2 linked regions of the Danio rerio genome follow. The protein of the gene in region 2 interacts with the protein of the main gene of each other region in a pairwise test. Links are inferred from orthologs where the notes say so. Each region holds a gene or a part of one and is shown on either strand. Other genes may lie near its edges.

Region 1 (4,189 bases), on a different chromosome or scaffold from region 2:
ATAGTGGTAACGTCCACACAACGTCAAGCTGTGACATCATTAGACTTCATTAGACTTTGTCTGTTGTGTGTATACCCTTTTGCCCAGTTTAATAAAAGCATCTAATGTTAAAAATAAAAACCACAACCAATTTTAAAATGATTCCTTCCTTCCAGTATAATAAAACATTTAAAACATCAAATATTTGAGTTCCCGATACCAAAATAAGCTATTTTGTCACTCACAATGTCTTCACGAGCATATGCCGTTGACATAATCATAAAGTAAACAGCAAATGATGTTTCAGGGAAAATTGTGATTCTCTCACATGTGCAGTATTGAGATATAGCTAGAGAATATATAAAAAAAGTGTATTAAAAGACCACGAAAGTATAAAACAATAATCGTAATTTACTGCAACAATGAAATAACGGCGGAACTAATTCGCATTTCTCATTTCTGTCATTTGATGTACACTACATTCTACATCTATTGTTTGGCTTAAAGATTGAAGTTAAAGATGAAAAGATGGACAAAAAGCAGGGCAGAGAGGAACATTATTTTAAGGTATTTTCTTCAAACAAACTATATATAAAAGCTTTACTTGTCTTTGTAATAAATTCTTCAAGGTAACCATACTAAAAAGTGCACTTAATGAAATGGAGACCACACTGTCTTCAAACACGTCTGCTCTTCTGTATTTCAATATGCTTGACTTCCACATGTAACAGATGAAGCGCATGATGTATTTAGATATGAAATAACCCAGACTAAACAAGTCTAAAGAGGCTTAAACTCCATTAAGAGCTGGGACACATTCATCAAGTTTACTGTAAATCAGCCAACAATTCTGCTCTCAGTCTATCTCGTTTTTACATTTAAAGTCACAGTGTCTGCAGGAGAGTCCCTTAAACAAGTTCCTTTGAGTTTGTGGTCCACATCGGGTCTGGATAATGAAAGTTATTCAAACAGTATCATCCTGTTAGAATAGTTATAAGAAGAATGGAGAAAGAGTGAACAGAAATACACTTCCCAACATGCTCGTAACGTTTACATGTAAAAGTTCCATGAGATGTTTCTGTGTGACCTTTATTGACTTGCTTCTAGTTTTATAAAAGATCTTCACAATGTCTTTCATAAGACAAGATGCATTATTCAAAAGCGCATATGACACTTTAAGACAAACCATCAATTTTAGCAGATTTAACGATGCACTTGATAGTTTTTTCTTCTATTTTTAAACGTATATTATGATTACATATAAGTCATACCATTATTGGTTTCCAGAATGTTTTCTGTTGGTTTGCCAGGAAAGTTTTCTTAAAAAGTGTAAATAAAACATTCCCGGAACAGTTCTCTTCAAGCAGCCTCCCTAAAAAGCCTCCCGTTCTTATTAGGTTTCCAAAAATACTCAAATGGGAACCAAACAGAAACCATATTGGAATGTTCAATGTTTGCTGTGCTAATAAAATCAATTTAAATCTACAGGATAAAAGGTTGGGTGAAGAGGGTCACCAATTTGAGATCACATGACAAGCATAAATCAACGACGGCCAATTAAAAATAATCCATAACGGCGTTTGAAATTGCGTACTTCCATTCTATATAGTTCGCTTAAAACAGTATGCGAGCTGAGTAGTCTGTCCGTATAGCATTCGAAAAACGGTAGGTCAGATGACCTACTACTTCTGGCGAGATTCTGAAGTTCGCATTGGACGGATGCTACGCAATCCCATGATGCACTGTGAGCGAATTCCTGAATGGAAGTGAAGCGACGCAACTGATGTGAAGTAGGTTACATGATGATGACAAAATGGCAGATGTAGTACGTCCGAGTTCCATTCATACTACTGACTTACTGTATACAAAGTACTTTTCTAACGGCTGAGTAGTACGTTTAAATTCAAATGCAGTACTCACTGAGTAGTAGGCGATTTCGGGCGCATGTCTGTGCATGTCTGTATTCGAAATCGCTTCCTATATACCCTCATTCACTATACCCTACATTAGTCAACTAATATAATTTACTTATAGAGTGAAGGAGAAGAAGAAGACATAGGATTGATGCCACCTTGTGGTCAGACAAAAATATTATTTCAGTCTGCAAACTCAAACTGAAAAACGGAGGAGGGAGGTGGTTCGCAAACTGAAGAGCGGGGGTGGGAAGACGATTGCAAACTAAAGATCAGAAGGGTGAGGGGGTTAAGGTAGAAGAGGTGATCCTGAACTAAAGGCCACAGGGTGGGGGGAGGCGCCGAATTTCGTTGCAGGTCGGAGGGATGAGGAGTGCGGGCCGTGAGGGTGTTTAAAGTTTGAGTCCCCTGTTCTATACAGTATGAATGGAACTCGGATGTACTACATCTGCCATTTTGTCATGATCCATGTTCTACCGACATCAGTTGTGTCGCTTCACTGCCATTCATGAATTCTCTCGCGAAGCATTATGGGATACCGTAGCATCCATCTGATGCGCACTTTAGAATCTCGCTGGAAAAAATAGGTAAATTCAGACATACTACTCGGCCCACATACTGTTTTGGCATACTGTATAGTATGAAAGTATGTGATTTTGAATGCAGCCATTTAGTGTATAGTGGTTATTGCGGTGCATTGTGGGATTAAGTGCACTTTTTAACATCCACTATGGTTTTTGAGACCACTACAAATGGCTGCTGCCTCAAAGAGTGCACTATTTAAGGGGATAGGGGGCGATTTTAGATACAACCCGTATTGAACTTATTCTTTACACATGTGTAGGAATCTATTTGTCTCCAAACATCCAGTTTTACTGACTTCCATTGATTTTTAGACGTTAAAAACAGCTCGTTCTGCTGCTTGATATTGCGAAGTGGTATTTTCTTATTGTATTATTCTACTTTTAATGTACAGTCATGAACACACTTGTTTGCAGAGCAAGTAGTTTGACCGTTTCTGTCGTTTATTATCCCTAGTCATTTCTGCCATAGGTAACTAAATCGGAAGTTCTAAAACAGAGGCTGCGTCCGAAATCGCCTACTACTCAGTAGGTACTGCATTTGAATTTAAACGTACTACTCGGCCGTTAGATAGAAGTACGTTCTATACAGTATGAATGTGAAAAGTATGAATGGAATTCGGACGTACTACATCCGCCATTTTGTCATGGCCACGTGACCTACCTGCGTCAGTTGCGTCGCCTCACTTCCATTCATGAATTCTCTCACGGGGCATTATGGGATAGCACAGCGTGCATGAGATGCGCACTTCAAAATCTCGCCAGGAAGTAGTAAGTCATCCGGGTACTTCTCGCCTACCGATTTTCGAATTCTATGAATTCGGACATACTACTCGGCTCACATACTGATTTTAGCGTACTGTATAGTATGGAAGTATGCAATTTCGGACGCAACCAGAGTCCTGGAGGGCCAGTGTCCTTCAAGGTTTAATTCCAGCTCCAATCAGACACACCTGTGTTATCTAATCAAGCTTTACTAGGCTTTCTAGAAACATCCGTGCAGGTGGGCTGAGGCAAGTTGATGCCTGTAATACACCGGACGTCCAGGACCTAGTTTGGGCAAAAACCCTGTTCTAAAACAATCGCACTGAAGAATAAGGTCAATACAGTCGGCTAATTGAATTCTTCAGTGTGATTCAACCATACCACTAGCCGTCAGTGTGATTTATCAAGTGCACCTTTAAATCTGCCACCAACTAACTATTTCCATCTTTGATCCATTTCTAACTGTATTCCAGACCTTTTCCTCCATCACAGTGTTTCTCAGGTCCAGCACATTCACAATTCACACACTCAAATTGGCCACTCTTGTCCTCCTGGTCACGGAGGAGAAATGTCTCTATAAGCACGATCACAGTGAAGCCGCTCTCAGCAGAGGTCAGACACATAGTCGAAGTCCCGGAAACTGTCCTGATCTTTGCGCGAAAGCACTCGAGGCTCGCGGGGAGGAGTGAGAGTCGGCGCTTCTGTCGTGAACTCCTCATCAAAGTTGCTGACGTCTTCTTTTCCTCCGATGGATGGAATAAAAGGAGGAGGGAGTTTGCGGAGGAGAAGAGCCTCCCAGTCCATATTCTGAGGGAAAGAAAAAGAAGACAAGCTTATTACAGGGTTCCCACGTTTTCCCGAACAACAGACTTATATCACTCAATTTTCATCATAGATGCCCTTTAAGATTTCTCTGTTTTTTCCTTCTGTTTTTGACAATTGAGTACAACT
Region 2 (3,664 bases):
TTTGGTAAACATAAAATAAGAATGCAAGTTTCATAGGAGGGCTGATAATTGTGCAACTGTACATCAACATAAGCATCCAAGACCAACTACCCACTCAGATCCTCAGAAAAGAACAGTTTTGTGTTTGATTATATTACGTAGGGTGGAACTATATTACATAGGGTGTGTGTGTGTGTGTGTGTGTGTGTGTGTGTGTGTGTGTGTGTGTGTTATTTTCTAAGCAGTAGGTGTGTCTGTGTTTCCTCCAGTCCTCTGCACAGCTGTATGTTTCTGCTGACGCGACCGTGTGTATATCATGTTCTGAGCAGTGTGTGGTGTGTGTGTGTTAAGGTCTGAGCATTGAGAGAGAGAAAGAGAGAGTTTCCTCCATCAATATCAGTGTGTTATAGTCTGAGCAGTGAGTGTGTGTGCTGTGATCTGAGTGGGAGAGTGTGTGTTATGATCTGAGAAGTGTGTGTGTGTGTGTGTGTGTGTGTGTGTGTGTGTGTTTTGTTTATTAGAAGCTTCACCTCGATCTCCTGCAGCTGCTCGTGATTGGTGGAGTACATCTGCTGAAGGCCCTGCTCCAGCTCATGGTTCCTGTCCAGCAGAGTCTTGCCCAGCTCAGCAGCCAAGTGCAGATCTGTCACACACAAACACAGGAGAGTGCACAGTAAGATGGAGGAAAACAGCAGACGTCATCCAGCCCGATGCACAATCACAGCGGATATTTTAAAACATTTTAAAATCCTACCGATCCCAAACTTTTGACCGGTAGAGTGCATGTACACAGCTCAAAATAAGCATATCGTTTCATTTTAAATAAATAAATATTAAGCTTAAGCCTGTCATGATAAATTATTATTGTTGTGTGAAACAGAGCTCATATGGACAACTTCCAAACCATTACAAGATTGAGGAAAGTAGGGGTGTCAAAATTAATTGTTTCTTTGGTGCACCGCGATGCAGACGCGGACAATAAGGTATCAGTTCAGTAATAATCATAACCGTTTATTATATACTGACGTCATTTATCTCCTATGCGCTCTGTCGCGAGGGAGGTGAGCGCGAGTATTTACAACACTCAGCCAACTCAGGGCCGGCCCGTGGCATAGGCACCATAGGCAAATGCTAAGGGCGCTGTATATCCAGGAGGGCGCCAGAAATGAGCGCGGTTCAGTTGGTTTTGTTTTCAACATTCCTGACACACATTCAGTTATAGCGACAATAACTCAAAAACCTCTCACCCTAAAAAGATCTAAAGTGTGTTTCCTACAAAAAGACAAAGCTGGTTATGTTTCACAGCTGTCTTTCTTTTTTTTCGCTCGACATTACGAGCACTGCTTCGTTTAAGCCCTCGCAAATGTGTTTAGCCGGGAGAGCTCACGCTGAGAGGAGCTCTCAGTAAGGGACATCGCAAAAGTGCTTATTTTTTTCGTTTTTTTACGTTTTTCTGCTCTGCTCAGCGCGAGCTCTCCCTGTTGCGAGGGCTTTAGTGCGTGCGTGTGTGTTTGTTTGTTTGGTGCTGTCTATGTTTGTGAATGTGTTTGAATGAGAGACAGTGTGGTGCTGTGTGTCTGTGTGTTTATACAGACAGCTTGTTATAGCCTCCCCCCTAAAATATAACACTGTATATGGAAAGCATCGTCAATGCACCGTGATGCACCGAGATATTGAATTGAACCAAAGGCATGATAATCATAACCGAACCGTGAGACCAGTATAGGTTCACACCTCTAGAGGAAAGTGTGAAAATTCAGATTTTTCGACATTATATTGACTGAAAATGCTGATGGGATAAGGATAACTCTTCCTTGCTTTAATCTTTTATTAGTCATCATTGCTTGTGTACTTGTCTTTTCCTCTTATTTTAACACATCAGCTCAATGTCTCACAAATGTATCCATTTCAGTGTGCTTGTGGTCTTGTGAGGGTGGGAAAAGGGTGGAGGAGGTTTAGAAAAGAATATTTACACATATACTGGAATGATTCTGTAAATAGTTGATATGAAAATATGACAAGTTTTGATAATCAGCTTTTCTACATCCAGCAATAACTATTAATTGTTTTTAAACCTGAACTCTTTGACTCAAAGCTGAGATTAGATAAGACGACAGAGGCTGCCCAATCGAAAATTGCATCATCGAAAATTATTATGGTCATTTTTTTTGCGCAATAAGCTGATATAATGATTATTATTACCACAGGCCAGCTAATGCAGAATGATGCAACAAAATTCCACACATATCTAGATATTAATTCTTTATAAATGTTGTTATATAATATATCATAAGGCAGAATACTGTCTCTGAGACATATTCTGTGAATAACAAATCATTTAACATTTTAGACCTATAATGAATACACGAGTTCCTTAAAAACAAATACATATTACCACTGCTTTGGAGAGAAAGAAGGAAAAGGCGTCCTGCCAAGTGCAAACAAAGTCCCAGCACAACACTCACCCCTATTATTATCAGAGGAATGAAAGCATTATCTACATTATATTTACAAAATAAAACACTTTTCAGCATTAAATATTTGTATTTATTCTGAAATACATGAGCAAATAAAACACCAAATGGGATACATCATGTACAGTACACAGATTCAAATGTCCTTTGGCAATAGAGTAAGGCCTTATTTTTGTACATTAGTTAATATGTTAAACAAATTAAAGCAGGTCTTTAGCTGATTACCAGACGTTAACCACTGATCTTTAAATTACTGAAATTGATGATATTAAGATTAATAAATGCTGTTTAGTTAGTTAAATTAAAGGGCACATAGTTTATCCCTTTTTATGATTTAATATTAATATTCTGGTTGTTCTGAGTGTGCCAGTTCAGGTTCAGTTCAACACAGTTCAGATGTTTTCATTATAATGTGTTTAAAAGTATCATGTTGGGGGTGTGTACACCGCTCGCTGTTTTAGGGGTGTGTTGCTTCACATGAAAATTAGTTTCGGCTCCCAGCCAATGTAACAAGGGGGCGGAGTCAAGAGCTCCCACGCTCTGTGTTTGCAACAGACAGGCTGACAGACAGAGAGAGAAGCTAAGCTAAGCTAGGATAAGCATTTAGCCGTACATGTACGACTCGGACACAGATCATTTGTGTCTTGGTATAGTTTGTATAGTCTCGGTGTACAAGTGCCGAGCTTGTACACCAAGACTAATAACCACACACACTGAATTAACTTTGACTGAGGCACCGAATGCGCAGCGACACGGCACAAAACATGAAGTGTCCCTAATCGTCGTGCCAGGCATTCCAGAACTCCAAACACAAACCTCCACCAGGGCAAACACAACGGCGGCGCGACCATCGAGCCGCCAAACCGAAGCCCCGCCGCGTGCACCTTGACAGAAACCCGCGTCCAGAACCCCGAAAAGCACAGCGCTACGCAAAAGGTACAAGCAATAATTCCAATTAGAGCGATGATGTGGAGAATATTGAACTTGTGTTGAGCCCAATGAGCCTTTCATCTAAAAATAGAGCACGGGTGTTACTTTAGTGATATCGCTTTGACTCACACGCTGAAAATGGCAGACTTGAAACAAGAAACTGAGGATATGATTGTGACGCGAGGCTGTCAATCAATATTGATGGGCGGGGGGACCGCTCTCCTACGTAAAGTTGCGGTCGGTCTAAAAAACCGCTCCAATTGGTCCACCATTTTTATGTT

What was found.
Region 1: the proteins of cdr2a (region 2) and pkn1a interact in binary tests that used the Homo sapiens proteins (3 or more experiments, as listed by UniProt). The link is inferred for Danio rerio from reciprocal best matches to the Homo sapiens genes CDR2 and PKN1.

Annotation. Positions count from the first base shown.
Region 1 is NC_133176.1:49,115,219-49,119,407, reverse strand, and holds the end of pkn1a (serine/threonine-protein kinase N1), read right to left. Parts: intron 4,046-4,189; coding exon 3,842-4,045; 3' UTR 656-3,841; downstream 1-655. UniProt on the Homo sapiens protein: PKC-related serine/threonine-protein kinase involved in various processes such as regulation of the intermediate filaments of the actin cytoskeleton, cell migration, tumor cell invasion and transcription regulation.
Region 2 is NC_133178.1:62,650,988-62,654,651, forward strand, and holds part of cdr2a (cerebellar degeneration-related protein 2), read right to left. Parts: intron 623-3,664; coding exon 510-622; intron 1-509.